Caenorhabditis elegans: one gene and its partners. The protein of the gene in region 2 interacts with the protein of the main gene of each other region in a pairwise test. Each region holds a gene or a part of one and is shown on either strand. Other genes may lie near its edges. The genes, in order: sas-4, mut-16, ego-1 and wago-1.

Evidence for each region.
Region 1: the proteins of mut-16 (region 2) and sas-4 interact in a two-hybrid assay, tested with the Caenorhabditis elegans proteins (one study listed by BioGRID).
Region 3: the proteins of mut-16 (region 2) and ego-1 interact in a two-hybrid assay, tested with the Caenorhabditis elegans proteins (one study listed by BioGRID).
Region 4: the proteins of mut-16 (region 2) and wago-1 interact in a two-hybrid assay, tested with the Caenorhabditis elegans proteins (one study listed by BioGRID).

The regions. Positions count from the first base shown.
Region 1 is NC_003281.10:8,313,189-8,320,941, forward strand, and holds sas-4 (Spindle assembly abnormal protein 4), read right to left. Parts: upstream 5,401-7,753; 5' UTR 5,394-5,400; coding exon 5,301-5,393; intron 5,253-5,300; coding exon 5,157-5,252; intron 5,077-5,156; coding exon 4,732-5,076; intron 4,616-4,731; coding exon 4,396-4,615; intron 4,354-4,395; coding exon 3,821-4,353; intron 3,645-3,820; coding exon 3,201-3,644; intron 2,931-3,200; coding exon 2,772-2,930; intron 2,726-2,771; coding exon 2,538-2,725; intron 2,490-2,537; coding exon 2,430-2,489; intron 1,677-2,429; coding exon 1,388-1,676; 3' UTR 1,161-1,387; downstream 1-1,160. Other genes in the region: F10E9.2 (uncharacterized protein), read left to right, coding at 156-203, 258-339, 388-666, 711-835, 883-1,098; F10E9.11 (rRNA-processing protein FYV7), read right to left, coding at 5,558-5,825, 5,883-5,950; F10E9.10 (uncharacterized protein), read right to left, coding at 6,441-6,497, 6,542-6,658, 6,705-6,812, 6,857-6,961, 7,012-7,092. UniProt on the Caenorhabditis elegans protein: Required for centrosome duplication. Plays a central role in determining centrosome size.
Region 2 is NC_003279.8:10,078,172-10,086,912, reverse strand, and holds mut-16 (MUTator), read right to left. Parts: upstream 6,755-8,741; 5' UTR 6,752-6,754; coding exon 6,512-6,751; intron 6,468-6,511; coding exon 6,345-6,467; intron 6,304-6,344; coding exon 6,124-6,303; intron 6,078-6,123; coding exon 5,953-6,077; intron 5,501-5,952; coding exon 5,109-5,500; intron 5,059-5,108; coding exon 4,936-5,058; intron 4,891-4,935; coding exon 4,778-4,890; intron 4,698-4,777; coding exon 4,268-4,697; intron 4,069-4,267; coding exon 3,760-4,068; intron 3,710-3,759; coding exon 3,649-3,709; intron 3,599-3,648; coding exon 3,526-3,598; intron 2,991-3,525; coding exon 2,872-2,990; intron 2,564-2,871; coding exon 1,840-2,563; intron 1,547-1,839; coding exon 1,394-1,546; 3' UTR 1,205-1,393; downstream 1-1,204. Other genes in the region: scpl-1 (CTD small phosphatase-like protein 1), read left to right, coding at 45-125, 305-379.
Region 3 is NC_003279.8:7,649,609-7,658,512, forward strand, and holds ego-1 (RNA-directed RNA polymerase), read right to left. Parts: upstream 6,731-8,904; 5' UTR 6,665-6,730; coding exon 6,557-6,664; intron 6,514-6,556; coding exon 6,349-6,513; intron 6,305-6,348; coding exon 5,930-6,304; intron 5,881-5,929; coding exon 5,740-5,880; intron 5,662-5,739; coding exon 5,527-5,661; intron 5,482-5,526; coding exon 4,300-5,481; intron 4,256-4,299; coding exon 3,878-4,255; intron 3,830-3,877; coding exon 3,718-3,829; intron 3,670-3,717; coding exon 3,227-3,669; intron 3,160-3,226; coding exon 2,686-3,159; intron 2,641-2,685; coding exon 2,461-2,640; intron 2,413-2,460; coding exon 2,274-2,412; intron 2,227-2,273; coding exon 1,697-2,226; intron 1,648-1,696; coding exon 1,278-1,647; intron 1,226-1,277; coding exon 1,059-1,225; 3' UTR 733-1,058; downstream 1-732. Other genes in the region: rrf-1 (RNA-directed RNA polymerase), read right to left, coding at 52-159; F26A3.4 (Protein-tyrosine-phosphatase), read right to left, coding at 7,624-7,746, 7,801-7,908, 8,009-8,108, 8,322-8,671.
Region 4 is NC_003279.8:7,233,210-7,240,107, reverse strand, and holds wago-1 (Argonaute protein wago-1), read right to left. Parts: upstream 4,725-6,898; 5' UTR 4,701-4,724; coding exon 4,536-4,700; intron 4,490-4,535; coding exon 3,909-4,489; intron 3,865-3,908; coding exon 3,132-3,864; intron 3,084-3,131; coding exon 2,908-3,083; intron 2,865-2,907; coding exon 2,689-2,864; intron 2,647-2,688; coding exon 2,300-2,646; intron 2,254-2,299; coding exon 2,014-2,253; intron 1,974-2,013; coding exon 1,666-1,973; intron 1,621-1,665; coding exon 1,509-1,620; 3' UTR 1,316-1,508; downstream 1-1,315. Other genes in the region: dhp-1 (Dihydropyrimidinase 1), read left to right, coding at 874-1,024; R06C7.2 (BEN domain-containing protein), read left to right, coding at 5,607-5,929, 5,980-6,004, 6,048-6,235, 6,283-6,448. UniProt on the Caenorhabditis elegans protein: Argonaute protein which is involved in the endogenous small interfering RNA (endo-siRNA) pathway. Interacts with secondary 22G-RNAs, which are RNA-dependent RNA polymerase-derived endo-siRNAs, typically 22 nucleotides in length with a 5'guanosine residue.

The DNA of each region.
Region 1 (7,753 bases), on a different chromosome or scaffold from region 2:
AAAATCTTGGCGCTTCATTGGAAAAAGATATTTAGCGGTCCATAGATCTACACGAGCTACAGTAACCTGCTGTGGCGAGGTATATTTATTTGTGCATGAATTCTGGGCGGCTTTCACTTTAAAATCTGGATATATTGAAAATTAATATTTTTCAGGTCGGAGATGAAATGGATTTTTCATTACAATGTGATGCATGCAAGAAAGTAAGATTGTTTTACAAAATGCAGGTTTTTGAAAGATCAAACCAATTATTCCAGTTAATCATTGGGTTAAACAATTTGGATCGTTTTGATTGTGGGCACTTCTACTGTCTGGTGTGTAGTCCACTTCAGCCAAAAGGTAACAGAAATTGATCAGAAATCTGATAAAAAGAGTTCAATCTTTCAGAAAACCACTCGTCTTGTGCCACTTCGACATCTCCGTCAAATGCTTTTACGCGTGAAGTCTCACCGCAACAAATTGCTGAGCATACTGGAGAATTGTCGAATAATGGAGCTGAACGTGGAAAGATTCGAGGAAGTACTCGTGCTACTCGGAAAGGATCTGTGAACAAATCAAAAAGTGGAAGGACTCGTCGACATAAGAAGGTTCCGGATCAACGTCTTTGGTACTTTTTGTACCTTTCAAAGCCAGTCGTTGTCAGCCTTCCAACGGATGCCACTTATCGTAAGCTTAAGAATCTAAGATTTTTAAACAATTATATCGTTCAGACGATCTGATGGCTCGACTCTACACGCTTCTTGGTGTCAGCGGTAAGACCCATATGATTACTCTGAGAACTCAGAAATCATCGAGTGAAGAAGGCGAAGGCGAGTTTTCTGGTCGAGGTGACCCGGTTAGTTTTTTGATATTCTGAATATAAAAAGATAAGGATGATTGTAGGCTCCTCTTGAAGTCGGCGATTCGAAAACTCGTCTCAGTGATCTAAAGATTACACGTCACAAGATGCTGCTCCTGGATGTAGATGATCAGAAGAAAGATGGAAGTGGTGAGGAGAAGAAAGAGAAGAAAAGTGCGGAAAAAGAAAAGAAAATCTCACACGAAAATGTTCAAAGTTTGAGTCCGTCGAGTCGTGCAGAAGATCCGAGATCATCTTGAAATGTCTCCAGTGTTCCAATAAATCTTTGCAATCTGAATCCCGAATTTTGTGCAGAACATTTAAAGTTAAAATTGTTTATAACAGTCAATAAAATAACCATGAAGATCAATATGAAAGAAATGGGGGAGGGGGCAAGTGAAAATTGAGATAGTAAAAAATGATTGAATTATTTGATATGATTTTACAGGAGGTAGAATTAATTATAATTTTAGAGCACTCAGGAGTGAAAAATAATGTCAATGGAATAGATATACAAACCACAAGTTAAAATAAAGGGGTTGGAATTTCTCATTTTTTCCACTGGAACAAAGTTGTTTTCCGACGTTTATCGCCTATCATCTCTGCAGTTTCCAATGTACCTTCACACGTGGAAAGATTCACTTCAAGTCTCAATGTTTTCTCGCTGCATTCAGGTCGTCCAATGATCTTGAGAATATACTGATTGTTGAGACCAGTCGGATCTCCCTGATACCAACGAAGACGGAATTCTGGCTCAACGAGCTCAAAATCGTTGTAATCAGTGACGAGAACGTAGCGACATTGATTGTCGCGATATGTGTGTGTACCGGGATTGTATCTGAAAATTTGATAGGTTTCAGAGGCAAAAATATTTATAACGGGGTTTTAAACCTGTTTTACTAACTTTTTGAAGAATTGAGGTCATATTCCTAAATTTTGGGTTAGACAAAAATTATAGAAACATGTTTTGTTTGAAAATATATTATTTGCTAAAATATCGTTATACTTATTTGAGTTTTTTTAATGAATAAATTAAAATTCATCGAAAAACTAACTAAGGAAAATCGATGAAAATTCTGTTTCAAATTGAGTTTGAAATTACAGTACTCTTTGAAGGCGCCAAATTTTACAATTTTTTCGTTAAAGGACAGATTTTTAAATGTGAAAATACGTGCGCCTATAAAGACTGTTGTAGTTTGGTTTATTTATCTTTTTTCTAAACTAATAAACATGTTTTTATCAAAAAAAAAAGGGGCAAACAACAATTCGACAGTAACGCGATTTTTAAACTACAGTAATATTTAAAGGCGCACGCCTTTTCCCATTTAACTAAATTTTATCGTGCCGAGACATTTTTTGCCGCAAAATGTCACATCTCTTTTTTTATTTTTGTTTCGTTTTATTTATGTAATTTATTTATGTAACCACTTGTGATGGTTTGTATCTATTAATGTGTGTGTGTTTTTTTTTCTACCTAACGATATCTTCTATCGTAATAAATTAAATTAAATTAAATTAAACATCTGGGTAATAGTTTTGAGATTTTAATGGTTTTTCTGAATAATTAATTGGAAAATGAATAGAGACTCACTTTCTCGAAACTTCTTGATTGCTAAAATCCTTCGTAACATATCTTCCGTCCCTATTGAAGCTGAAATACGAAATTTCCGATGAACTTTAAAAAAGAAAATAATCTTACATTTCAGTTTTATACATTCCGTTTTGATAAATCAAATCAGTTCGAACTTCTCGTCGTTTAATACTTATCAATGTTATGTTATTTCCAGGACGAAGTACTTCAACTTGCCTTTGAAATGTATGAATAATTGAAATATTGTATGTGGGGAGATCAATTCTGACTGTTTTATCAACTGCGGATATGTAGATCTGTAAATTGGTCACTTTAATTGACAAAATTCCAATTAAAACTTACATTAACAGCGTTCTGCCGATTAACCCATCGAAGATCTCCATTGGAATATTCGAAAAGAAGACCGTTAGCTATTGTATCCGTCACTTTAGATGTTTCTCCAAGAGAATCTCTGTAGATCGTGCATTTTCCAAATTTTCCCGGCATTTCTTTGACTGGCATCTTCAAAAAGCATGATTTAAAATTTTTTTTTGACAATTTTCGGTAACTCGAAAACTATTGATTTTTAATTCTGGGAATTTTGAAAAATCGGAACTTTCGGCAAATGCTAATAGTAAGCTGTAAATTTTTAGACTTAAAAAACTATTTTTCAAAAATATTAATTTTTTAGTCGGGAAGAAAAAATAATTTGAAATTTTTTTTGAATTGATTTTTTCAGAGCAATATTCTAAAAACAATTTTAAAAAAACCCTGCTTTGATCTAAATATTACCATCAAAAACTCCTGTGGTACAGCTTCCAATGATTGTTCATTTGGTTCATCTGCCCAACTAACACCTCTTTCTCGATTTGATGTAGATGGTTTTCTAAATGTTGTCAACGAAGATGATGATGGATGTCTAGATGGACCATTTGATGTTATCGAAATTGGAACACTTTGATTCAAAACTGGTGGCACTGGATTCGAAGTTTTTCGATTCATTGCAACCTTCGCGAACATCTCCTTTTCTTTATCGTCGCGTTCTTTTTCAGTACGTAATTGTTTTACGCGCTTTTCTAAAGTCTGTAGAGTGCTCTTTAGCCGGTTTCCGTCTTTCTGAAGCTTCTCGATTTCCTCGTCTTTTTTCTTGAGCTTTTCGTCTCGAACACGTATATCCTGTCGATATTGTGCATTCTTGGTTTCTGATGCTCTTAATTTGTCGCGGAGAGTGGCTATCTGAAATTTGACAAGTTTTGCTGGATTTTAAATTAAAGGTTTTATAATAGAATTTCAACTTTTTAAATTCTCAATTTATTTCAATGAAAATTTTAGATTTTGCTTTGAGAAAAATTTTCAATCGAAATTTCGTGGTTTTTCTCGAATAACTATTTCTTGCTTAAATTCTTAATTACCGTTTCTGTGAATTCTTTATTCCTTTCTCCCGTTCCTTTCTTCAATATCTTCTGATCTCGTTCAAGATCTCGTTGATCCCTCTTCAATTTCTCGTAAAGTTCATCATAATCTTCCTTAATTTTCTCAAACTTCTTCTCAAATTCTTCCTCAACTCCTTTTTTGCATTTCTTAAATTCTTCTATCAGTTCTTTCTTAAAATTATTGACTTCGGAAATTTTTTCTTCGAGCTGTCGTTTTGTGGTGTGCACGGATTCTTCTGCATAATCCAAGTGAGCAATAGTGTCTCTCAGTTGTATGTTCAAGTTACGATGACGTCGAATTTCAATTTCAAGTTTCTGTCGGTCCAGTGATGATCCAGGAACATGTATTGGTTGATCATAAACGTGCTCGGGTCGATTTTCATCTTGAACATTTCCATTCTGTGGATTCTGTCGTGATGAGTTCATCATATCATTTCGTCTCAATGGGGCGGTCACAGTAGGTCTTTCATGGTGTTGTAAAAGGCTTATTCCCGTTTGAGCCTCACTTCGAACTAAAAATCTAATCAATCATGTTTTTTTTGTTATTAACCTACCAAGCTGATTAATTCTATTGCTGCCAAGCGGTCGAGCCTGTGGTGTTTCCAGAGAAATTCCTGATAATTCTTGCATTGAAGACGGCCAATTGTGATTATTTGGGCCAACGCCTAAATCGTTCATAATTGGTGTAGACCGAGTAGGAGGCTCAGAGGAGTTTGATGGTGCACAAGATGATGGCGTTGCCAGTGATGTTGTGATTGTTGAAGCTGATCTCATCTTTAATTTTAATTAATTAAATTTTGAATTAGAGAGTATTCGTAGGTTTTGATTTTTGATACGTAAATCTATTCTATGTAAAATTTCAATTATCATTCTGATTTGGCTGTTCTTACCGAATCCATTCTTCTCTCAAAAGCTTTGAATTCGGCAGCTGCATTTTTATACTTTAAAGCATCATCAGACAATTCATGATCTGAATTAACAAGAGTCGAAGGTTCATCAGGCACAAAAGAAGGCATTGCAGATACTTCATCCGTGTCATTGTCTTCTTCTTCTTCAGCGTGCTGTCCACTGTGGCCATGCTCTTCAGCAACGGAAGGTGCGGGATTTAGACGATTTTCCGGCGAAGATGACAATGATGGTTGATCCATTGGAAGAGATGCGGTGGTTGGTGGACGGGTCTCGTCTTCATTTGATATTCCACTGTCCACGGTTCGGGCAGAGTTCGGGAGAGCATTCTGGAATAATTCTACTTAATATTTATATTTAACTAGTCACCACAGTTTTATAACGTTTGTATTTAAGATATTTTACTTACCGACAGACTAAACCTAGGAACATTAATAGAAGGACTTGAAGCAGATGAAAGTTCCGACGTTGGAGGTGCACCAGCAGATGTTTTGTTGTTTCTAGGCTGAACTTCATATATTATTTCGATAAGCCTTGTATTTGCACAAACTACCATTCTAAATCTTGCTGTTCCTTGTCCTTTTCTCAAAAACGGCCGAGAAGGCTTCTGTTCACCGTCGGCACCGATATTTTCATCGGAAGCCATCTGAAGGCTGAAAAGGTTTTTAATAAATAATTGAATTATATTTCAGAAAATAAAGTATACTATCGGTAAGAAACGAAGAAACGATAAAACTATCGATTTTTAAAAACACAACAATTTCATTTCAACAAAAAAAATCTGAAAATATAAAAGACAAAACAATTAGTTCATTTCTTCTCCTTTTTCTCCTTATCCACTCTTTTCTGTATCCTCTCGAGAAGTACATCCATTTGAGCATTCAGATTTGGTTGTCCTTTTTTATTTCTTTTTGCCAATGCCTGATTCATCTTCTTTCTTGATTTATTTGTCGCTGCAATCGTCTCATTTCGCTTTTCTCGTTCGGCTCGCTCTCGTTGTTTCTCCTCTTCTTTTTCTTGCTTCAGACGAAGATATACGTCTTGTGCTTGTGAAAAGCTCATTTTCTTTTGCTTTTTCCTAAAAATGTTGATGATTTCAGATATATTAGTTTTGAAAATAGGAAAGAAAACTTACGATTTAACTTTTTTGGGTGGTTGCGATGCCACGGCAGTTGCATTGTCTGTCTTTGATCGATTTCCCATCTGAATAAACGATTGAGATTTCTAAGAAGAGATTATGTGAAATTATAAAAGCGTTTTGAAGGGATTAAGGTGGTAAACGGTATAATAACCACAGCGGGGGGTAACGAGAGAGCGTGCAAGACGAAGATGACGCAGACAATTCCCGCCGTCGTGCTAGGGAAAATGCTAGTCCACGGCCATCACAATTCTAGGCCATTTTCAAAGAAAACGGAGGGAGGTTCAAAATTTAATTGTTTTTGTTGAGAAAAAGAGAATTAATTCGAATTGTCCCTCATCATCCGCGCTCGTGACATGAATTTCGAAAATATAATTTATGCCAGTAATGAGTATCAAAATAATATTTACATGAAATGAATTGAGCAAGAGTAAATATCACAGTTCACATAATATTTTTGATTCCTATAAAATGTTTCATATTTGATAAAAACAATGATACAAGTTTTTTCACATCGATTTGAAGAAGATTGGAAATTCAAATATGTTGGAAGGATTATTGAAGTGTGAACGCAATTGTAGCATGTAAAAGGCATAAAAGTATTGAAGATCCCTGAAAATATCGATTTTTAAACAATCGTTGATTGGTAAACCCACAGATGACAGTAACCACTGATCAGTCCATTGAACTTGATTTACTTCAATGGAAAAATGAATTTCTATTACAGAACTAATACCACCAAGTAGAGAACAAAGTACTGCAGATGGCATTTCCTTTAATTTCAATATTTATTTTATTCCTCCTTCCTATAAAACTTACCATAAAATTGAATGTAAGAACACATGAACTACTTGAATAATATATTGCAATTATTAACCAAGAAAACGATATTACCATTATAATCGGAGCTGCTATCACCGGAAAGTACTGAAAGTTATGTCATTTCTTTATGGTACCAAATTGTATGATACCTGTAGTAAGTGCCGAGTACTTCCCCATCGAAATTCCTTCTCAACGACACAGTCATAATTTTTGCAGTAAAGAAGATTCCAGTATAATAAAGAGCAGGAAATAATCTAGAATTATAGGTGTAAACTTGAATTTTCTATTGATTGGTAATTCTTACGATGGAAACAGTGTAGAGGTACAGTGGTAGGCGTGTCCGAGGATATGGAGAACTTATTATTTTTGGTATCACTGTGACCATCCTGAACACATTATTATTATTGTAAGAAGAAAAAAGAAGAAATGAGTTAAATAAGGATGTCAATGGGTAGATACTTGCAGATAACTATTTGTAAAATATAATTTTATAAGTTATAAGTAACGGCCTTGATCGTTTAAAGGATACCGTTTATTTTCAAATGAAACTATTCCCAGAATATCTATTTCAAGAGTATCTGGATTGTCTTAATGAAATTTTCAAACTGGTCGTATTTTGCTAGTTAAACAAATTGATAGAAACTATTCTCGCCAAAATGCCAAATTATCATAGATATATAATTTTTTTAATTGAAATTTTATTGTTCACTGTCAAAAAATATCAGTCCTTATCATAATTTTGGAGGATTCTCTATTAAAAATGAACAAATTATTTCTACGAGTTTTTTTTCGGATTAAAAAAACTAACAACTTTCTAGAAATTAGATTTACATTTATGCTCAAAATTGCTGGGAAAGCCCACATTTTCTTAGAATTTGGCAATTTACCAAAAAGTTGACTGAAAGTTTTGAAACATCTAAAATTTATTTAGGTTTTAGGTTTGAATTACTATTATCCAAAGAATTTTACGTTTTTTTAAACGCAAAGTACCGTATTTCCTCGTCGAAAATCGCAAAATTTCGAATCTAGGTGTACAAAATCTTGGC
Region 2 (8,741 bases):
CCACGATAACTTCAACTATAATTCAAAATTTTATTTTATTTCAGGTACCAGTGACGACGTGGTTTGATGATCCTTCAGATACAGAGCTTTTGGATATTCTTCCATCTTTGGAGCACTTAAACGGGGTTTGGATTTAATTTTTTTTTTGAAAACTATTTATTGGCCAAAATTTTCTATGAGAATTAATTGGGCAAGTTTTTGTTAAGAAAAAGTGACTGAATACTGAATATACTGGAAATTCAAAATTATTTTGAAAAACTCTTTCAAAATCGCCTAATTTAAAAGTAAAAATAACATTTTTCAGTTCTCAAGCATCTATGATCTGTATCGACCAGAAGAAGGACCACAATCCGAGCTTCTGAATCACTGCTCTTGCTAATTAATACGTCATATCATAAATTCACAAAGTAGCTGTTTTCTTGTTCGAGACGTCGTCGTAGCTCAAATCACAAAAGTACTATAATTGCCTTTTCCCAAATAAAAATCCAAATCTTTCCGAAATAAATTCGAATGAAAATACATATCCACTCAGGATTCCCCACTCTCTTCCCATTTTCTCTCAGATTTCTAATTGGATTTTTTCTGTCCCACTTGCCCTTCTTTGTTTTCCTTTTTTACCAGTTAAATTCTCCACAGTCCCCCCCCCCCCCCCCCCCATCGCATCATCATCATTCTCATCCGAATTGTGATCTTTTAATATCAAATTATTGCCCCTTATTAGTGTTTCCAAAAAAGAAAAATTTTAGTTTCAAAACCGTCGTAGTGTGTATCCTTTTTTGGACAACATTTTTCTCCAAAATAGTTTCACCAAAATTTGCAAAATTTGTCATTTTGTGTTTTCTTGTATTTTTCCCCTACGTAGTTGCACTTTGTCATTCGTTTTAGTATAATTATGCTGTAAATACGAGCTATTTTCTCTTTTTGAATCTAATATTTCTGAAATTCCAAAGAAAAGGAAAACAGTAATTAGATTCAAAAAGTTGCCAATTCTGAAGCAATCACCCCCAAATACTGAAAACGTGCATCCCTCATCCTCCATCCAGTGCCTTCGTTCCAATTTTCAACCCGAGTTTTCCCTTCATCCCTTTCCCAGAGACACGTATCCCTGTTTTGAATTGTCACCGTCACCACCAATATTCGTGCAGTATTATTATTATCAGTTGACTCCCGGTTCTTCTACTTTTTATAAATATTAAAACACAAATTTGGACTCGTAAAAATATTAATTAGGAAAGTTTGGCGATTCAAGTATGAAAAAACAGGTAATAATCAGTAGGCAGTCAATAAGAACGAAAATTAAAAAAAAAAAACATGGGTTTAGAAAAAATGAAAAAATTGAGACGAGTGGGTGAATACAAATAAAAATGGAACAGTAATAGGAACAAGTAAATTCTTAGTTTCGGATATCATCTTTCAAAACGACATACGGCTCAATGTCACCTCTTTCCACTATAGCAACCGATGAAGAATCTCTAATATATTGGACAATATCAATGTACCGAGGAATAGCAGGACGTCTGCTCACTTCTGTTCTCAGTTCTTGTACCTGAAAATAATTCACTTTTAACGAAAACCTTTTCATTAAAAAAACTTAACATAAAATTGGTACAGTTACTCTAATCAAGAAGTCTTTTTGAAAGAAAAAACATGGCATTTTTCGAAGTAAAAAGCTTGTTTTAATTATACGAAAATATAGTGTAGAGATGATTTGAAAATACTCTTTATTTTTAAAGATTTTTTTCGTATGTGTCAATCAAATTTTCTCGTAATACTTTTTATATAATTACTAATATCACATCGTAGAACAAATTGAAACTTTCAACGAAAATTACTACTTACTGTCAATACTGTCAAGTTCATGCTTCGATAACGGAGAATTATATCTCTCAATTCCTTCTCAATTCCATCTTGAAATATTAATTCCCTGTTCGATGGCTGACGATTCGAAGAGAGAACACTAAAAGATCTTTGAGCTTCCGGTTGATGGTTTGATTGTCCTCCGTTTTTATTAAAGTACGGCGCAGAATTTCCGTTAAAATTGTCATATCCTTGTGGTTGTGACTGATGAGGCATATGACTTCCGTGATGGTCAAATTGATGTGGATTTTGACTGTATCCGACTGTCATTCGATCTCTTTCATAATCAGCAAGTTTGAAGTTTCCGTGTGGATCGTATTCTGGAGGATTTGGTGGAAACTGATCAGGTGATCTTCTTCTTTGTGATGAATGATCTTCATGATAAACTGATCTACTGCCATAATGATTGAATTGTGGATTACATCCATAATTTGGATCGGAAGAAGTCGGACCCTGATTCGGATTGTACGAATTTTGATATCCATTTTGATTGATATGAGGTTGATTGCTCATATGTGATGGTTGTTGGCCAACGTGATTATAAGCAGGTTGTGGCACTTGAGAATAATTAAATGGAGAAGGACCATGTTGAGGGTTGTTCTGAATTGAATTGTATGGTGGATACTGTGGTGCCGGTTGTTGATAGATTGGTTGCTGCTGATTAACTGGCGGATACTGTTGGCCGTGCATCGGTTGGTGGATTGGCCTGAAAAATGTTAGTTTTGTGAATTTTTCTGTTTTTTTTTCTCAATTTTAGCAAAAAAGGATATGTCTTTTGCTTGCATGAAAACCCCAAGACTACAATTATTACGCGAATTGTTTTACATTACTTTTAAAGATGGTCAAATAATATCAAATTTCTTGAAAATATTGTCAAATTTATGAATTTATTAACCGAAAAAGAGTTTTTTTATTTCGGAAATTTTTGCGAAATCTTATCAAAAAATTCGATTTGGGTCCATTTGAGCGTTCTTTATTTAACTTTTGGAATGAATTTTTAAGTATAATCCTTACTGTTGATGATGTATTGGTTGAGGCGCATATTGATGTGGTTGAGGTTGTTGTACAGGAAGCTGTGGCTGATATGTTGGCTGTTGAGGGATATATGGTGCACCCGGATGAGAGTTTTGATACTGAAAAGATAATGATTATGACTTCAAACTTGTAGGATTTGAGAAAAAAACGAACATGGTTAAAGAAATATGGTTCAAATACCCAACGCATCACTTCGAAAAGTTTCTGACTGTGTTGGACAATAAATTAATGGAAAAGATCTTCAGTCTTTTAAAAGAATGTCCCAATTCTTGTTCACGTGAACAATACTGTTTTCTTTCAGTTTTTCTGTTAATTTTTTCTGTCTTCCAGAGAACTCAATAAATTATAATTTCACATTTCTCTCAACTTTATCCGAACTGTGAAGCAAAACTATTTCGAAAACAGCAAAAATAGATCGAAAATGTAATCATGTGAACAATTTTTCGCAAATTTTCAAATATTTGTTGTAGATACACAGTCAAAGTTCTCAAGACTACGGTCATTAAAATTGGATCACTATGAAATTTCAGTGGTACAGAAATGCACGGAGGCATTAGATTTTTCTAACAATTTTTTCTAACGTAAGTGTGGATAGAATGTTTAGACTTAAAATATTATTAAAAATGAAATTACCACAGCTGTTTGCATTGGTTGATTGGCTGGTTGACTTTGGTTGACTGGTGGTGGTGCTGGATGTGATGGCAGTCTGCAATAATTTTTTTGGTAATTGAAAGATTAAATTTTAAAGCTAGGAACCTTCTGTTGATGAAACCATTGGCTGAAGGTCGTTCTTTCAAAAGCGGATTCCGTACAGGCTCTGAAACTGATTTTAGGCTATTAAGACGAGTCCTAAACTGCTTAAAATACCTTTTGGCGCAACTTTAATCGGTTTGTGCGTATCCGCTGGTGTGAAAGGAAGTTGAACATTGCGTCTATCCTCGTCGTGATTCGATTTAGAGTAGAAATTTCCGACTTCTCTGAGTGGAGCTGGATTCTCAGGTGGAACGACGACTTCAGGACGTGTCGAAACAGGGATTGACGGTGCTGCGGTCGTAGAAGACGATTCTACTACTGGAGTCGGGAGAGCTACATTCACAGTGTCAACTGGAGGTGTATTGGAAGTGTCAGTAGCAGATGATTCTGATTTTTTCTTGTACGTATTGAATCGAGTCTCAACTGAAATAGATTTTCATAAATTTAATAGTTCAAATTGGTGATTTTGGAAAATTTTTGTAAGGCGGAATATCGTTGGTGTTTGAAAGTTCAAAAATTTAAAATAGTCTCAAGTTCAGAAATACCACAATAGAAAAATGAAAAAAAACGAAGCATCATCCCCATTCACTAAACTCCGCTTTGGAAATGATAAAATTCGTACTTTTCGAAGGAGGTTGCTGCTTAGACTTCGTGTGCTTCTCACGACTTCTTAGTTCTCTTTCCTGTTTCTTTTTAAGTTTATCCTTTCTTCTTTGACGCTTAATCTCCTTTTGCTCGGGATCTTCATCAGAGTAGGATCCTTCAGAAGTGATTTCACTATCTGATGTCGTATCACCGACATCTTGAACACGCTCACCACGATCTCCATATGAAGGACCACGGTTACCATTGGTGATTGTGCTTCTGCTAAGAGCTGGTGCTCCACCAAATGGATTCGGAATCGCGGATCGTTGAGGGGCTCCGGACGAAGTGCCTTGGCCCATTAGTGGATCTGTTTCCATCACACGATTGACTGGAGAAGTGGGTGCACGTGGAGGACGAGATGTTGACCGATCAGTATTTCGATTAAAGTGCGATGAAGTTGTTGGTTGCTGAAAATCACATAAATTTCATTTCTATATTGCACACAAAGAATTTTGTGAATAATGAATGTTTTTTTTATCGCACTCACCAACGATCCATCATCATCTGCATTGTTAGAAATGCCCCCAGCAAAAGTCGATGGTTGATAATTCGGATCTGGTACAATTACATTTCTGCGTTGTTGTGGACCACGACGATCATCTAGAAAAGAAAGATTTTTAGATAATCACAAAAAATGCAATGTACCTGATCTCTGTCCACCGGCCCTATAATTGCCTTGGCTTCCGTAGTTCTGATTTCTCTGATTGCCGGTTTTCCATTTGTTCCTAACATCCGCAATATGTTCATCAGTGAAAAGAACAACTGGTCCTGAATGAACAAACGTTGAAAATAAATCGAAAATATTTTTAGTTACTCACGGTTTCCTTCATCGTCAGCTCTAAAATAGAGTTCTACAGTTTTGCCGTTGGCTTGTGAAACCACAATTTCAGAAAATCTTGCAGTTGTTAGAAACTTCTTCAGTGTTCCTCGATTTGTATACTCTTTGAACCAATCATTATTCCACAGTTTTTCTGGATCGAGTTGAAGAATATCCTTATATTTTCGAAAAATATTCGCATGTGCCGCACCAGTAACCATATTTGTATAAGCAGTTGAAAGAATTTGATATTTAACTGAACGAATGCTATATTCATTTCTGACAGCCATTAACAATTCCGCAATCATGTTGAATGTGAGTAGAGTACGAATTTCCTTCTCTTCGGATTCAAATGTATCTGCTTCCTTTTTCTTCCTTTCCTGGCGTTTGTGCCTGCAAATTTTATACGCCATTTCGAGGAAACACCACCGATCGAAGAGACTGTGTTTTTTTTGTGGTGATTTGGCAAGGAGAGCTCAGAAATATTTAACTTATATATTTTTTTTTTTTGTACTGAAATATTTTCTTAATTTCTCTCGTGAATCGGCACAATAGTCATTCGATTAAAAAAAATGGAATTTGAGCAATTTCGCTATTGATTTTGAAAAAATATGTTCAAAACAAGAATAAAATAATTCAAATTCGATTATTCCATGAACATAGGGAATTATATCGATTTACGAGAGCAATTATGACGGGGTTTCAGTGCAAAAAACAAATTAATTGCTGTTTTTAACAATAATTCACATAAAAATTTCCACAAAAAAAGCCTGTAATAGCGTCTCTCTGATCGCCGGTGCCTTATTTCGAGTCGTTCAGAGCTTTTCGTGACAAAAAAAACGCACTGTTCTTCGGATCCATTCATCAACGAAACAACAGTCTCACGTTCTGAATCGGAAATGACTGGAAAGAATGCGCCCTCTTTGGACTGCAGCCAACCTCCTCGTACAAGTGCATGGGCGTGTTCGGTCTGAAAACAATTAAGTTATAGTCTCCCTATGCACATTGTAATTTACCTTGGAATCGTTTGGAAGCTGAGAAATAATTTCTGGAGGAAGCAATAAAACAGCTGTTACTTGAAGACTGTATCCCATACAAGATTTCAAACAATCATCCAATTCATCCGAGGAGTATCCAGAACGGAATTTCAATGGATTGCTCAGCAATGAAGAGCTCAGGAACAGCTGAAGATCACGCTAAACCATTAGGTCACGAGATCATATAAGTATTTAAATACCTTCATGATTTCTGGATTACTTGCATCGCTGAAATCATAATCGGCGTTATCATTTCTTCCGATGACGTTTTGTATAAGATTGTCCGGTATCGTTTCTGGTGGAGGTTCATCCATATTGTCATTCTGAATCAGAAAATAAAATTGAAATATACGAACACGAATCTTACCGCATAGTAGGCATCCACGTCAAAGTCATCGTCTCCTGAATCCAAATAACTATCGTAGTCATGTTCACCCGATGAATTTCCATAGCTATTAGTGTCATCTTCAGTTCGATTTTGCATGGGAGTTTCTTCACGATCAGTTTCCGTATACGAGGCGGGTGGTGGACCAACAACGATCCCCAATGGATCGATATATTGATCGGAGATGTCTAATTCCGGATAATCATCATCACTTTCGGACATTTTCTGCAAATATCGAGTATTTGAGTGGGTTGAAACGTTTGAACGGCAATAAATGAGAAGTAAACGATAATTTGCTAGAGGCATTAAAGAAAACTTTCTATTCCAGGAAGTATTACGATTCTGGGACAAACAAGCGAAATTTGTAATAAGGTCTCTCAATAATATATATAATAGCTAAAACTTCAAGTCGTGCACTGTTGCGTTAATTCATTTCATTTTGAGCCGATAAGTCTGCAATAAACAATAATCATAGATTATAAAGATTTTTAACAGTTAATATTTTGTTTTGTTTTTGAATTCGGAAGCTTGTTCTTCAATTTCCAGTGCTTGAGATTTAAATGAAATTCGATCTGGAAGGCAATTTTGAAACAAACTGATTGGAAAACTGTTTAAATGGTTTTTTCAATTGAAATAATGATAAAAAATGTTAAGGAGCAATAAAACGCGTTCTAAATATTCGATCGGCAAGCAGATGATTGACGGTTATTCATTGAAACGTCGATAGAGCGCGATTGCATTGCGTTCAGGAAAAGTTGAATTTCTATCGAAAACAAGTATTAGAATTGAAGAAAACGTTTTGAAACTAAAAAATCATCTAAATCGGCATGTTTTTTAAACTAATGAACAGTCGCTTCATTAAAACATAACAGAAATTTGTTTGTATACGATAAACTGGCTTTTAAAATTGAAAAATATATATATAAAATCAAATTCACCGGCACATTTTCTCAAACCGATCGACAAAAAAGTACTTTAATTTTCCGAAAGAACTATTATGAAAGTGTATCGGTAAATAGTTTATTTTTAGGCCACAAAAGGATCAATTAACATGTTAATTAACACCTTCTGTTTCGAATTTTATCGCTTTTTAGTAATTTTTTGAATAGCTAAACAATAATTACTTTGAAAACGAAAAGAAATAACGAATATGGTGAAGTAAATCGCAGTTTTAAAAGTTGAAAAGGAGAAAATACATTTTTCAAATACAACTCAAACAAAGCGGCGCTTCTACTACGGTCACACTCATTTCACGTGTATGATTTCAAATTAAATCGTATGTAGTTTTAAAATTTGGTTAAGATTTCAGATTTAAATATTTGAAAGCTTTAATAAAAAATTATTGAAGACCATATATAATTTTTGAAGGCTATAAACCTTAATTTTTAACGAAAATATTAGAAAAAAGTTTCAAAGCATTAAAATTAATTTCGCGTCGGGACCAGACGCGCACTCACCACAATGTTCCTTAATCAAAATTAGTTTCTGTATCGGCGGGAAAATTGAAAATTCATTTTGAGCATCGCATAATCTCACTCACCATATACATTCAACGACTAATCGAGTGAATAAATCGATCGGAAAGGACATTTACAAGTTTATCTGAGCGAATTATGACCGAAAATCCTATGGAAAGTGCATTAAAAAAACTTTTTCCAGTGAAATATAAACAAAAATTAGCTGAAAAATACATATAAGAAACTAGTTGAAAAAAGGTTGGTACCATTGATCCTTGGCCCCAAGATACACCCCATTTTGTCTACTGGATCCTTTGTCACTTTGGACACTTTGTCTCCAAAGAACCTACGTCACCCAAAAGTTTGCAATCTAGGAATGAACAGTGAAATTTTAAAGCATTTTTATTTCAAAATGATTGGAATTTGTATCAGGGATTTGTGAGCGAACAGCTTAGAACTGATTCCACGTCGAAAAAACCGATCAGTCATGCAATGTTAACAGTATTTTATTTTTTATTCTAACAATACAATCTGTGACTATGTTGAGATCGTCCAATAACAGTTGAGCAGAGGTTTCTTCTTATCCAGAAGAAAGCTTCTAACTTGCTATCGGCAAATCGCTTCATAGCACATTCACAGACTTTGCGAAGATTTTCAATCTCCCCCATTCGTACATTCATCGTATATTCTTGTAATTTCCTAGTTAAAGACGAAGTAAGAGAATTAGCGTTAAATGTACGAAGCGGATCTGGCGC
Region 3 (8,904 bases), 2.4 Mb from region 2:
AATCGAAAAATGTCCAAAAAATGAATTAAAATTCTCAAAACCATGACGCACTGAAGTAAATGTCAGTAACATTGTATCGATACTTCCTTCGATGACTTGAAGCGAGTTATCGAATTCCGGAAATTCAAATTTAATGAATCCATGACTTCGTTCCGACATGACGAGGAGTCTGAAAAATTTTATACAGATAAATTTTAATGGCCAACGCACGAAAAACAAGGTTTTATGGAAGACAAACAAAAATAAAGATTTTTTAAATTTGCCATCGATCAATTGGATATTTAAATTTTTACTGTTATACAACTAAAAATAACTATAAATTAGGTTCTCATTAACCTTCACTTTGAAATTTACAAAAACATTTTTTGAAAGTTAACAACCCGCTGAAATGCAAAAATCGGTTCACTGAAAAAGACGCTGCCCGTCGGAGACGCAGACAGCTGAAAAAGACACTGTGGTGACAATGCAACAGTGAGCAAGTATCGTGATTATTATTCCGTAATTTTATTTACGGAAACTCATTTAAAACTATTTTCTAATAATAAAGAAATTTAATTTCATCTCGGAAAATTGAGCACCTTTAAAAAGTTGTATATTTAAAATGTTTTAAAATTTTTCTGATCAAAAACAACTGCATTTCAAAAATGTTGATTTCAGTCGAGAAGGAAAAAAGTTCGATAGTTTGGTCCAAAATTCAAACAAAATCGACAGCATTTCAATTTTTCAAGAAATCTGGCTATATTCTATCCAATAGGAAAATCATGTACGAAAAAACGCATATAACAAATAAAATACAAATATCGGATTCGTAATAAAACAGACAATTCATTGAAACAGATAACCGAAACGCTGAAAACGATGAAAAGAAGGAGAAACCTATCCATTTCAATCAATCAGCAAAAGAAACAACAGGAAAATATAATGAGAAAAAGAAACAGAAATAAGCATGCCAATTAAAACATGCAAAAAAAAAACAGAAAAATAAAATTTAAAATGAAAACCATATTAAACATTTAAAATCTCTGAAAACACTGCTAAAAACGAATAAGAGAAACATTCTAGATGTTGATGTGTCCTCTGACAATCTTTTCATAGCACAATCGAGCCATCTGTGTAGACACATCTTGTCCCGTTACGTACGTTTTGATGGGAACTTTTACAGCAACCAGTTGACGCAACTTGTACATTGACTCGAGAGTTCCACGTGTAGAAACCAGAAGACGCACTATAATAATTTGAAAATTAAATCTGTTTACCATTCGATTTTGTTAACTCACTATTGATTTTTTGCACATCATCCGAAGAGCGAACTGATTTCTCCATGTTTCGCATGAATATCTCTTTTACACCAGTATGCTCTACCAGCTTGCGATGAACCAATGAACGATCACAATTGGCTGGTAATTCAATCACGAACGGTTCGTTTTCTCGAATTATTGAACGAACTGTAGTTGTTGGATCAGTTGACACAGGAAGTTCTTCGAATCGTAAATTGAATAACACGTTGTAGTAGGTTTTGAGTGCGGCCAAATGGAAAATTTGCCATTCTCCTCGCATGAAAATTGATGAGAAATCAAGAGCACAGAATGAGAGATTCGCCATTTTTCGGAACTTTCGCGAGGCCAAAAATTCGAGAAACTTCACCATCTGAAAACAGTCATTATTATAAAAAAAATAACACAAATATTCTTCTCACCATCTGACTTTTTCCTTTTTCCTCAATATATAAACTGGGCTCAAAGTCTCCAATTGTTTTACTCTGCTTGTAACTTTTCTCATCGACCTTATTGAAGAACTTGGCAGCATTTCCATCAACGGAAGAAAATTGCCTTGTAGCAAACAGGATAAATAGCAGTGATAAATGATATTCTCGAAGTGATTGATTTTCAAATAGATTTGAAATCCGTGCCCATTCGTCTAACATGAATAAGACTGCATCCAATCCTGGATAAGTTTCTGTGTACATTTTGATGATTCTATGAGCTCGTTTCACTTGTTCTCCACTAGTTTTAGGTGTTGAAAATTGTCGAAAAGCTTCGAATTTTCTCGAGTTATCGACAAGATACTGAGATCTGTGGTCGTCAAGCATTGTGTACAATGGATTTGCTCCACCCATCTTAACTTCGTCACTTGTAAGACTTTTGTCTTGTTTCACTTTTGCGATGACGTCATATGCGAGCCAAGCGAACGACAATTTCTTGTTTTCTCGAGTTATTCGAGCTTCCTCTGAAATTAAAATAGTATTTATTTTTATTTCAAGTTATCCAACTAACCATAGCAAGCTCTGTACCAAGCTACGGCCTTTTTCATCATCTGCACTGTCGGAGCACGACATTGTCGTTGAAGAATATTACTATCACGTCCGTAACGAGAGAATGCTTCTGTGTTACCTTCCCAGCCGCCTTCGAATTCCTGAAATTACGCATGTACACATATGTAACTGGCTTAGGAAAGCTTTACTTCAAAAAATATCTCTCGGTATTTCTTGAACAAATTTGTCAATTTCGTCTCGATCATCTGGTTTGTGTTGAAGAATGACATATCATCTTGATCCTTATCCGAAATTCTGTTTCGCATGTCAACAATGCATCCTGAGAAGACTTCACCTTCTGTTTTGATTCCATAGTTTTCCATCATTGACTGAAAAAACATGGTCATCTTTCAACTATTTCTCCTAAAACTCACTCTCAACTGAGCATTATATCTTGCTAAATCGTTTTTTGCACTAGCCATATATTCCGTATATCCATCAATTTTGATAGTTTCATCTATAGAAATCTCCACTTGCTCGTCTCGTTCTTCCGAAATTTTGAGTACATCATCAATTGCTTTGAACTCGCGAAACAGTTTTCCACACAATCTTGGACTGACATACATTGGAGTATGGTCATTTCCCATGTGATAATCAGGTACTCTTTCAGCTCTTTCAGGTGGAATCATTTCGCCAGTTTCTTCATCTTTTCTCCATTTCCTTTCAAGTTCATCAGGTGGTTGTCCAGACTTAGTGAAGTCCACAGCTTGACAATTTTTCTTCGCCAAATCCATGCAAACTCTTGCGTTTAATCCATATTGGTCAGAATTGTGAAGATGACTATTCGAGATTTGTCCAACGGAATCCAATTTCAAGTACTTGACATAGAACTCACGCATCAAGTCATCCTGAAAATATTATTTATTGCGACTAGAATTAAATATATTTATGTAATCTCGTTAAAACGAAACTCACGATTTCATCTTCTTTAAAGCTCGCCTTCTGTTTCTCTGAAGTGAAATCATATGGATCTTCATTTTTGTCCAGAAGCAACTGTTGATCCCAAATGATAGAATATTCATCTCCATCCAAATCAGATCCAGCCATTTCATCAGGATGAGGCCTCGGTCCATGTTGTGGGAATACTACTACATCACACATGTGATGAAGTTCTGGAATATCGACAGCCTCGAAAATCCGAACATCTCCGGCAACAATGCATGGATTTTTGGTCAAGAGAACCGTTCCTGTAAGAACTTGTCGCGCAGCGTTTTTGGGTGGAAGTTTCAGGGCCAGATTTTTGGTATACTGTACGAAGATTTGACCATATTGAAGACGCCCAGTCTCGTCAACGACTCCAAGCATTGACCGTCCGAGATCACACGGAATGGGAATTTGTTCTTTTCGGAGTTGTCTGGCTGTAACAAATATGGTTTGTTTAAAAAGCTTCATTCGTTTAAACTTACTGATTGAGAACTTGATCGATGCTTTGATAAGAGATCGGAAAAATGGTTCGCTAGACAATGTGAATCCCCATGTTGTTCTCAAGTAGTCAATATCTACGCGACGAGGTAGCTCCTGAATAATAACAGTAATGAGGATACTATCAGTAATTTAATAACAAACCTTCAGTCGATTTCTGCAAAAAGTTTCATCCACCATTTGTTGGGCAAAAGAAAGCATTTGTCTGTCCAGTAACTCTTCGATTCGATTTGTTACTCTTCGATGACATTCCAAGGATTGCATTTCCGAAACTTGATCGAGAATATTGATGAATGGCTTGTTTAATGCCACTGGAACTGGCGATGAGTACTTGACGATTTCCACTTGATCACGTGGGTGTCTCTTTGAAATAAATTTAATTTGACTTGGGCGAAACATACAGTTCAAGCTCCACGAACTGTCATCGCTCGGTTTGCTGATATTATACGAAATTGACCACTGGCGAAGATTGTCAAGAAGAGGTTCGATTGAGATGACTCCTTTCATTCCACGGAAACGAAACTGAAAAAAACTATTAAGAAACACCAAAGAAAAGATTATGGTACCTGAAAGCAGCTGGGAACACCTTTTCCAAAATCCATAACTTCTGAGACCATTTGAGCAAATCGATAACTCATCATTCCAACTCCATCAGAAAACGTGTATTCATCTCCTTTCAAATTTTTTCCTCCAGTCAAATCGTACGTTGTCATATACGTGCATCTTTCCAAATTCACTCCTGACAATCTGCTTTGTGTAAAACACTGTCCAAGACGAGCCATCATTTTTGGAATGTTGTCAATAGTCTCGAATCGTCCCAAATTCTTTCGAGCAGCTTGGATCTTTGGATTGAAAGTGATTGGTGGTTTGATTTGATATATCCGTTCGTATTCTCTGCACTGTGATGATGAATATTTTTCCATGAAGTAAGCACCGTTATCTCTCATTTGTGAGTTCGAGCTTCCTAAATAGCCGAAATTACGACCAGCAACAGTAATTCCATTTTTGAGATATTGATTGACGGTTTTTTCAAGCATAGTCGAAGTTTTATTCGTTCGCATTTTCTGATTATCATCATCTCGGAAAGTGATTCTTAGAACTCTTGTTCCATCATGGTCGTATCGTCGCAGTACTCGATTTCCCATCAACGTCTCCGGTGCCACATAGATAACACGAGTCGGTGTGAAAATAATCTTTCGAACTCTTTGATATCCCTCTCTCATTTCTTCAGTTGTTAATCCATTAACCAGACTGTTTCTCTGTCTCGTTTGACAAATTCTATCGAAACACTTGATCAATGATCCAATTCGTTTTCTACCATCGATCATGTGAACCAAATCCTCAAGTCCGGCCTCACAAAGTTTGTCATCTTTCGTGTAGTAGTGGAGAATCACTTCAAGGAATCGGTGCCATATTCCTTCATCAAGCAAAATTTGATCCTTAACCACTGCTCCTCTCGAAATCAGACATTCCAGGAGATAAGTGATGGCGAATTTTCTTTCCCTGTTGGTGTCAACTTCTCGAGAGCCACATACTTCATGTTTCTTTGGAAATGCGGTCGTGATGAAATCTCTGTAAATAGGCGCAGAGAAATGAGTGGGCGACAGATGTTGATTATTTAGGAATGTCCAACGGTTATAAGGATTCTCTCTCCAAATGAGACAGTCAATCGAAGGAATGTCCGCGAATTCAATGGAAACTCCAGTACGGATGCGAAGTCTTGAAAGTAAGCGGTAGATTTCATTGAGCTGGAATAATTACACGTAAAAACTTGATGCATATTGAATTATTACCCCAACAGATTGATCAAACTCGATTGTGAACACAGGACTATCCGTTATTGCTTTAGCTGTTGGATACTGATTCGCGCTTCGTCCACGATTGATCACCAAATATCTTCGATAATGTGGGACGGAGTGCCGATTTTCCTGAAAATTGTAATTAACATCTTATTTCGATATTTCATAATCGCGAAATTTCATGGTTTACGGCTTGGGTGTGCTCACCGATTCCTGTTTTGCCGTTCGGTAGGCTCTTCTAATGAGAACAGGACAATTAAGTTCGAAATGTACACGAATCCGATCCGAACCATTACAATCTTGAACGACAGGATCAACAATAATCCGACGAATAGAAGTTCTCCTAACCTGAAAGTTTTTGTTATGATTTTTATTCCCAATTCTATTGAAAACATACTGTAATCTGGTAATACATGGTAACTGTTTGTTTGGTCCTCTTCGCATCTTTATCAGCAACCTCAAAATCATTTTCAAAGTGCTTGAAGTGAACTGTCATAAAATCAATTTTATCGAATTCGAACTCCACTTTGATTTGGTTCATTCCAATTTTATCGGCTTGTGTTGGTTCAGTATTCCTCGTTCTTGCCGACTTCCGACGTCTAACGTCATCCCAGAAAGACACTTCCCAATGATTAATGAATGTTCCGCCTTGAATATTTCCAAAGAAAACAGCGGCAAGCGGAATATCAACCAAATGACATGTCAATTCGGAAGACCAAAAATCGGAACTGTGAAGAACGAGATTTCCACGTTGGAATGGCATAAGATGATCCTGGAAAAGTACGAATACGATAGAAAGTTTCGACAGCAACAAACCGTTGATAAATCTTTTAAATATGTCTGGATCGCCGCAATTAGATCATGTGAAAACCTGCTGGTCGCAACTTCATAATTTGTTTCATAAAACGGCTCACAATCTTGCTCTTCGACAACCTGAACCTGTCCTTTTGTCAAAACCTTGATGTTGTATTCATTCAATGCCTAAAACAAAAAAAATGATTGATGAACACATTGTCTAACTTACTGGCTCTAATTTTGCTACATGGCATTTAACTATGGGTCCCATTTGCCGCTCTGGCAGAGAACAGGGAATTTCGAGTTTAATCCATCCACGATAACCTTCGTCCCCCATTGTTGCGAGGATTCGGGATAATTTTTGATATATCTTAGGCTAAAATCGTTTTGAGGTAGATGGTCTGTAAGAAAAATATTACAATTTCAACATTTTAGACCATGGTTACACGGATTTTAAATTTTTAGATAAAAAAAGAGATTTTCTGGTTAGAATTGCAGCGTTAAAAATATTCGATTTTTTAAAATTACGTTTCACTAGACTAAAGCATCATGAATCATATAAAATAAATGAGAAAACAGAAATATTTGGGCATTTGGGATGAAAATTGATTCAAATTCGAAAAACGTTTCTGGCGCGCTATCGTATCTGCCCTGTTCGTTGCGAGACTTGTAGTTCACAACGATTTAAGCTCCTTTGAAGGCAGCGGCATTTTGAAATCGAATTTCGAATTATTAACCTTCTTCTTCGCAGTTTTTAGCTATGAGCGAGAAACAAATAAGAAAAAAGTGGCACGCGTTATAGTTCAAAAATTTCGTTGTCGCGGTGAGACAAGGGCTGTTGTCTTTTGGGCTTTGGTTTTTTTGGCAAAAATGGGAGAAAAAACTTTCACAAGTTAATTTTTAGTCGGGACGAGGAATTCGATTTTTTTGTATTTTTATTAGTCCAAAGTCCGAATAGTTTTTAAATAATCTGCATCTCCAATTTTTCTAATGATTATTTTACGAGAACTTGTGTTTGAATGGAAATTCGCAACATGAAGATAAAATTAATAAATCTCAAAATTTATTTACATGGCACCGGAAACTACAGATTTCGACCCGTATTTCTGATATAATTGAGAGAGGAATAGAATAACATTTGAAAAGAAATTGAAATTGAACAACTAAAGCACTGACCCGTTTCAGGGAAAAAAAGTGGTAATTGCGCCTAATTGGTGTGCATGGTGGGAGGTGGAAAGGGAGGAAAACAGAAAAAAAACAAGAAAATATGATATGAAATATGGAAAATAATGATAATCAGCAAACAGCTTCAGCCATTTCCATCACAGGTTCAAGCACTGGACGGAATTTAGATTTGAATCCAGAATTTCGGCGTTCTCGTGGCTCATCTGGGATCATATTTGGATCTTGCTCCGGGCTCTGAAAATTAAAAGGGTCAATTTCTGTAGTTTGAAATATGATTTGTAAACTTACAGCTGGTCTAGCTGGAATTGCAATATTAAGATAAACATCGGGAAGTAATTGTTCTGGTTGAGCTTCATCTCTCACCAATCGAACAGAACCAGCATTTTCTTTGACGTTCTGTAAGATACAAATTATAAACTTTGGACCTAATGATAAGAAAATAAGAATGATCAAACTAGATTTTGAGTGTTTATGTCTTTAACTTTCAGTTACATACCTGTTCATAAGCAATAAGTTGGCGCCAGAAACCAAGATTTGGACGAACCATTGAACGCTTTGATTTCATCAAATGATAAGCTTCACGAAGATTTCGGCAACTGGAAATAGATCAAAAATCAATATGTGCATTCTATTTTAGTTCATGGGAAAACATCAGATTCATTAGTTTTTGTTTTCCGGCACGTGCTCTCTTCCCATTTATTGGATACTTATGATATCACATGAAAGCACATGTCCAATAGAATTTATAATAGGGGAAAGCACTGAGTTTCTGGACTATTTTTGGTTCTAACTAAAACAAGATGACATACCGATATTTGAGCAAGAAAGCCAAACAGATGGAAGCAGAACGTGACACTCCGGCGACACAGTGCACGAGAACTTTTCCCCCATCAGCAATGAGTGCTTGAATCTGATCAGATTGAAGTTCAAGATGTGGATAGATATATGTCTGTGGAGTATCTTCAAGCCAAAGTTTTGTACGTTGAATGTCTCCAAGACTTCTGAGATTTGGAACTTCTGTTGTTGCATTTATGATATGTGTGATCTTATGTTTCTTCATTTCATCTTTGCTCAACGCAGAAACTCCACAGATAAATAATCCCGGAACGATTTCTGACATGGCCGCATATTCTGGATTTACACGGAAAGACAGTGTCATTTTGTAGTGTATCTGTAATCATATTAAATTTGATTCGAGTACCAAGAGGTTATCAATGAGAAAAAAGAAATTGAAACGAGGGGGCACGTGACAACAGGGAATGATGTTGAGAGATGTATTGAGATAAGAAGATTGTGATAAGAGTGTGAACTTTGGGAGAATTAAGTGTTTCGGATGAAATGAAATGGAAGGAGAACGAAGAGAAAACATGTGGTTAAAATTGATAATGGAGA
Region 4 (6,898 bases), 2.8 Mb from region 2:
TATTATATCCGTCGACACTTTTGAATCTTTGCGTTTTTCAGAACAAACAACAATATATTTGATAATGCAAAGTATTTTTGAAGTGTGACATCGGCAGTTGTCTAATATGTAGTACCCGTACACAAAAACCTTTAAACATTTCAAAATTTCACCGACATATTTTTTCAACAATATTAGGACTAGAAAAAAGTGGTTCTGTAAGTCTAAAAATGCAACGAAACTTTAGATTTAATTACAATTTTTGAATAAAAATATGCGAAAATTCGAAGGGGGGTTACTGTACAAATATACTAAATATATAAGTACCGCAACTTATAGGATTTTAGGTTCAGATTTAAACATTGTATCTTAATATGAAGTATAAAGCAATTGTAATACGGGAACAAAAAATTCTGAGAATGCGTATTGCACAACATATTTGACGCGCAAAATATCACTTAGCGAAAACTCCTGTAATTCTTTAAATTACAACTGTAGCGCTTGTGTCGATTTACGGGCTCGATTTTTGAAATGAATTTCTTTTCGAATAGTGACAACGATATTTTGTAGCTTTTAAGTTTTCTTCTAATATTTGATCGATTATTTATTAAATGATGTCCGTAAGCGCTACAGTAGTCATTTAAAGAATTACTGTAGTTTTCGCTACGAGATATTTTGCGCGCCAAGTATGTTGTGCAATACGCATTCTCAAAATTTTGTGTTCCCATAATAGCATTTCGTACATGGTTGGAAGAAGGTTTCCGCACGCTCATTTTATCGTCTTAATTTTTGAAGGCGGCCAATGCAAAAAAAAAAAAATAATCTAAAAATGTTTGATTCTTGTATTCAGACATATTCTCTCAATGGCACAACATTAACCACAATCTATTACAGAGGGCGAATTGTATGGGCTCACGGAAAACTTCAAACAGTTCCCGGATCTGGGAAATTTATTCCCCTTCTTGCGAATTCACCATTCGTTTTTTCAACTCACGAGAAAAGGGAACAGAAAATTCAACCAAGGATAGTTGAAAGGCTTGAATGAAATTGCTTTTTTATTTATTACTTTTCTTGTTCTGATTAACTTTCGAATTACCATTTTGAGTTAAAAACGTGAATAAATTGTTTGTTCAATATTGAGATTACAACCAAAAAGTAATATTTAGTCGACTAGTCAATTGACTTGGAAGCAGCTCTAGAAATGTTTAATGTTCCAATTTCAAAAAAAAATCGAACAAAATTCCCCCTCATTATCAGACAATCTTCGTTTTCACTTGAAGATCCTCAAAAAACATCGCCTCGAACTTTTACGCACAAAGCAAATCTTTGAAAAATATTATCAGCCTAAAACTTTTATCATACCGAGTTTAATTACTACGGGTCACACAGAACCACATTACAAAAATATAAAACATTTGACTAAAAAATTACAATAAAACTAGCGGAAAAACCGTAAAATTATTATCCTAGGTGACCGTAAAATTATTATCCTAGGTAAAACATCAAGTGTATGTGGCATAGCTCCAAATCTATGCATTGACGCGCTTCTGATTGAGATCGGTTTGTTTGTAGCCGATTTCCTTTGTAAGTTCCTTGAGGCGCTCGCCTTGCGACTCCTTTGCTTCAATTGGTCCTTTAGTCCTGCAAAATATAAATAAATTTTTGTTTTAAACAAAAAAAACCTACGTTAGTTCACCCCAGAGATCTCTTCCACGCTTTGCATACTCATTTGCCACATAAAGTGGAGTGGGAATCGACGTGCTCAGGGAAACAATTTGGTGATGATGACACAAAGTGAAGGTCAGCTCCTCCAGGCGGTCCATTGGAGCTTTGCAGTCGTCAGCAAGAACAGTGTACAATGGTGTCTTTGCTGTTCCTTGAAGAGTCGTGTGACCGTTCAGGAAGAACTGCTTACATGCCGGATTCGTGACAGCGTTATCCAAGACAATGCCCGGAGGAATATTCATTTCAGTGGCTTTGCCGCCCGAACGAAGCTGAAAAGTTAGCGTAAAGAGAATAATAAAACAAATTTACCTGATCACGGAAGAATCGGTAACTGTGCTCCTTAGTGACGACGATGAAAATCAATTTGATTTCTTTCGAGTAACCATGGATAATAGCTCGGGCTAATGGGATTTCATAAGCCAGAATAGAAGCGTGAGAACCCTCCGATGCACCACTTCTATAAATGATGATTCTTTTTGGCAACGCTTTGCGGTTCTTTTCGAACAAATCGATTGAATTTTGCAACACGTCTTCAATTGATGCCATTGTCTGTAAAAATTACCATGTTGTTAACTCGAACACATTAATTATTTACGTCCTGTCCGGAGGGAGCCAAAACGAAATCGCCGACAAACTCGTGATTTGCAACAGCATTTGAAGCGAAGCCAATGATTTGTGGATTAAGATGTCCCTTGTTATCCATCATGTACTTCGTTCCAGCCGGTGGTGCGGAAACGCCAACTCCGATGATCAATTGTTCGTCGGTCATGCTCTTCTTTGCATCCGAAACAGTGTAGTTAAGACCACCTAACTTCACGTTAGTTTTGTTGATGATGTTCTCCAACGTCAATCTCTTCCCATCTTTGACAACGGCATTGGCTTTGGAAATTTTCATATCCTGGACGATCATCATTGTTCTCTGTTCCAAGGCTTTGTACTGCTCTGAAATTTTCAATGAACCATGAAAACTTAAGGAAAACTTACTGTGGAGGTGAACGATTGCGTCATCAGTGATCATCAAGACATACTTGCACTTACTCGCAGCCACTTTTTCCAGCTGAGTCATAATTTTTTCCGTACTGTAAAGTCCTGTTTCACATGGTGGCTTGATCACCATGCCTTTCTTCTTGCAAGAATCAATGAACATTCCGACGAGTTGGCTTAAGAATTGAATTGATTCATGTAAATTTCTATTTGTCTTACTTGACATCTCCAATGGAGAATCTGCAACCTGGATTTCCAACAGCGTAAGCAGCCCACAAATCAGGAACAGTCGCAGGCTTCACAAACCATCCTGGAGGCGCACGCCATTTTCCCATATCCGACATTACCGATCTCTGGTATACAAGTTCTTTTCCATCAAGCTCACGTGCTTGGACCTGGAAAAAGAAAACAAATATATTTTTTTACAATTTACACAAACTAACCATCAGAGGCTCCGAGTAAACCTTGATTCCAAGAGCGACGAGCAACTCGTTTTCGAGTGTAATGTTGACAGCATTTTTACCAGTGATGATCATTCGCTGACGGACATCCGGAAGAACCGCGCACTCCTTCGTTGTCTTTTGAGATTGATTTCCCGTTTGCTGAGGAATGGTGACACGTTGATTTCTGGACACAGTCATCAGTTCAGCCGGGAAGTAATTGTTGTTGCCTCGATCCTTACAAACCACCAAATTGGCGTTCGGATACTGTAGACTGATCTTGTATTTGTCCGCATAGTACTCGGCGATTGAACAAGTTTTTCCATCGGGCAACTCAAATCTGGTCTTTGTGGCACTTTCGTGAAAGATACCTTCGATTCTTAGATGGCGCTTTCTGTTGGTATAAGTCGAATAGCAATCAAGTCCTTTAATCACTGCCGCAGCCTTCTCACGGGTCATATTATTGAGTCCATTTGAAGGATCTTGTCCCGTGATGTCGAACAGTTTTTGGATCACAGTTTGCTCTTTGTGGAAAGCAGCTTTCATACCATCAATCACGAGAGATGGATTGTTCTGTCCGCGACCATAAGGACCCTCGATGAATTGAATCGTCTTCTTGAGGCCAGGATAAAGTTGTTTTCCGTCTCCTACGTCGACACAGTCTCGTTGATCGAATCCTTCTTCGGTGGCGTTGAGGAAATATACTTTTCCGTGCTCGAAGCATCCGAAACGATTTCTAAAATGAAGCGATGCTTTTAATAATTTTCGAAATTCACTTACGTTTCTCTCACGCAATGTTGATTCAGAGCAAGTTCCAAGAATTGAGTGTATTCTCGATTGTTTACTTCAATGTTTTGATCCGCAGTACGCTTGCCCAGATTTTCAGAAGAGAGCGTGATAGAGTTGTCCCTTGGGGCATAAATCTCGAGAGAAATGCAAGGCAGGGTCTTAAGGTCGTCATTGCCGGTATCAGCTCCGTTGATTTGGAAGACTTTGGACTTCGTACCGTTGGCATCCAGTTCTGAGAACAAGTTGACCGTCGTGTAGAGAGTTGATTGACCGTCATATACAATCTGATTCCCATCCTTCATTTTGAAGAATTCCGGGTTCTTCTCAACCGCAAGGAAAAAGATGTTGCAACACTTATCGCGACGATCCTGAACGACGAAGTCCTCCTTTCCTTTTTTAGTGAAAGTCACTTCCTTTGTTGAAGTCAAATCGGCCTTTGCGTGAACCATAAAACGATGAACTGTGGTTTCCTTTGTGACTTCAATTCCGAAGACATTGGTTTGGATGTCCACTGGTCTGCCCATTTTTCCAGGTTCGGTTGGCTTCATGTACATTTTCGCACCATCCTCAACCTGCAAATATGGCATTAGAAAGATCTTTGAATGCTGATAAACATACGTTTAACTGTTGTAAACGCTTGATGCATGCGTCGTTGCCAGTGCTTTGGTGAAGCTTTTGAGCATCGGCTGGAACTGGAGGCATTGGAGTCATAGCTCCTGGTGGAGCAGTGACTGGTGGCATTGGAGGCATCGGTGGATGCGGTTGTGGTGGATGAGGAGACATCTTATTACTATTGCAATATTAGTTCTGAAAAAAGCTTATATAAATAATATTCTGCACCGAATAAGCGAGATTGGAGAACATCTATAGAAAATTATGAATTTGTGAGATATTTAACAATAGTTTAAACAAATAAATCAGTTTTCTTCAAGAGATCAATCTAGAACGAAAATGGTACGTTATGAAGAAAGGGCAAACTACGGAATTTTCGTATTGCCGACGAAAAAGAATAATGATTCGAGATTTTTCGGTGTTTCAGAGGCGGCATAAAAACAAATAACGACTAGATTTGTACAAAATCATCATTATTAATGACGCAAGAATACAGAATCCGATAATTGGCGGCTAGATCAAATGTAGATCACTTTTACATTTTTAAGATTCAACGAGCAAGTTTCTTAAGATTTTGTAACTAGATTATTATTAAAATATAAAAATAATCTTGAAAATTAACAAAAATTATTGAAAACTGTCACAAACCGGAAAAGAATACAAAAAACAATTTCTTCGTCCTAAAAAATTTAAATGACAACGCATACAGTACATAAGAATGGAGATCGCTGCGAGACCCACTCAGTGTTAAAACGAACGCTCCTTGAATTTATTTTTGCTGTACAGCCTTATTTTTCTCCTTTTTACAAGTATTGTGTGCTTTCCATGTTTTAAAAAGTGACTTAGTTGTTAATTTTATTTTGAATGATACTCATCTAATTCAGGCTTGTAGCTTAGATCGCAATGAAGTTAATCGTTTGCAACCTATGTGGATTCCCGCCAGCAAGAAGGCAATTTTACATCACCACCTGCTCTCACATCTTGTCGAACAACGCAGACTGCTGGATTTTGTTATTTGTGTAAGGTCCCTACGAAAACTCTTAAAATAGATGGAAATCTGCCGAAAATGTGCGGAAAATGTTCAGCGCTGTACATCCCGATTCGCGACGTGACTGTAAAAAGTACAGATATTCTCAAACGTCTCACCAGAATTATTGGTTTTTAAAGTATTCAGAATTCAATTTATTAGGAAAACGAAAAATAAAAGGTAATTTTTTGCACTTGTTTCATGCAGAAGAAAAAGTTTTATTTCAGTCGGTGATGCTAAAAGATCAAACGGCGAAAACAGAGAAAAGGACACAGGAAATCACATGCCAACTGTCGAAGCTAGCCAATTTTGAGGAAAATAATCGAAAGAAGCTTCAAGATACTGAACGCGAGAACAAGAAGCTTCGAAATTTGTAAGTAGTTTCTGCACGAGATTAAATTTAACATTTTTTTTCTATTTTAGAATCAATTCCCTTGAACTGAAACTTGTCAGTTCTCCTGTTATCGACAATAACGATTTTTTTATTCAAGGAAAATCTACCTCTTCAAATCCTTTTTTTTTTAATCTCGGAAAATGACGAATTGCTCGAACGTGTATTTCACTTCCATTGTGCCACCTTCACCAAATTGTCAGACTTCCAACTTCTTTTTTTTCCAACACCAATGTATGTTGCAAATGAGTACGCGAAGAGTGGTCGTAATTTGTGGAATGAAGCCATGTGAGTTTAAGAAAATGACAACAGTTGATATTAAAATATTTTTGCAGCATTGCGGATGCAATTCCCGAAGTTTCTGGACCAGAGGCAGCTCGTATGAAGCAGATTACCGATAGCATCAAATACAAGGAATCCGGCTTCCTGATCGACCGTCGTGTCAATGCTTCAGCACTAATAATTCAATCAAATTGTAGTATTTTCAATTCCAACTTCTAGTTTGTGAGAAGCATACCATGATTTTTTATTTGTATCCCACCCTGTCATTCTTGTTTTTGCGTTACATACAATGCGTATCTAATAGTAAGTGGTGTAACTGCTAATTTCATTTTCCCCCGTTGCCCTATTATTGTTTTGACCTACGTGGAAATTGATTTTTTGTTGTTGTTGTTGAGTGCAGATTATAGAATGTAGCCTGTTGTTATGTTAAGTTGTACGTGCAATGTTGTTGTAGTCTCCTTAAACCCATAAAAATCATAAAACTTATTTCAGTTTTAAGTTTGAAAAATCGGGATCACCAAAATAATATTTCTTTCGCTTTTTTGGTTTTGAACAAAGTTTTAGATTGGGAAAATTTTCAAAAAACCAATACATGGAAATTTTATTTTTTTTGTTTTTTTGTTATGGAATACCAGTGTTCTCCGTAGAGCGCACTTTCATTTATATTTT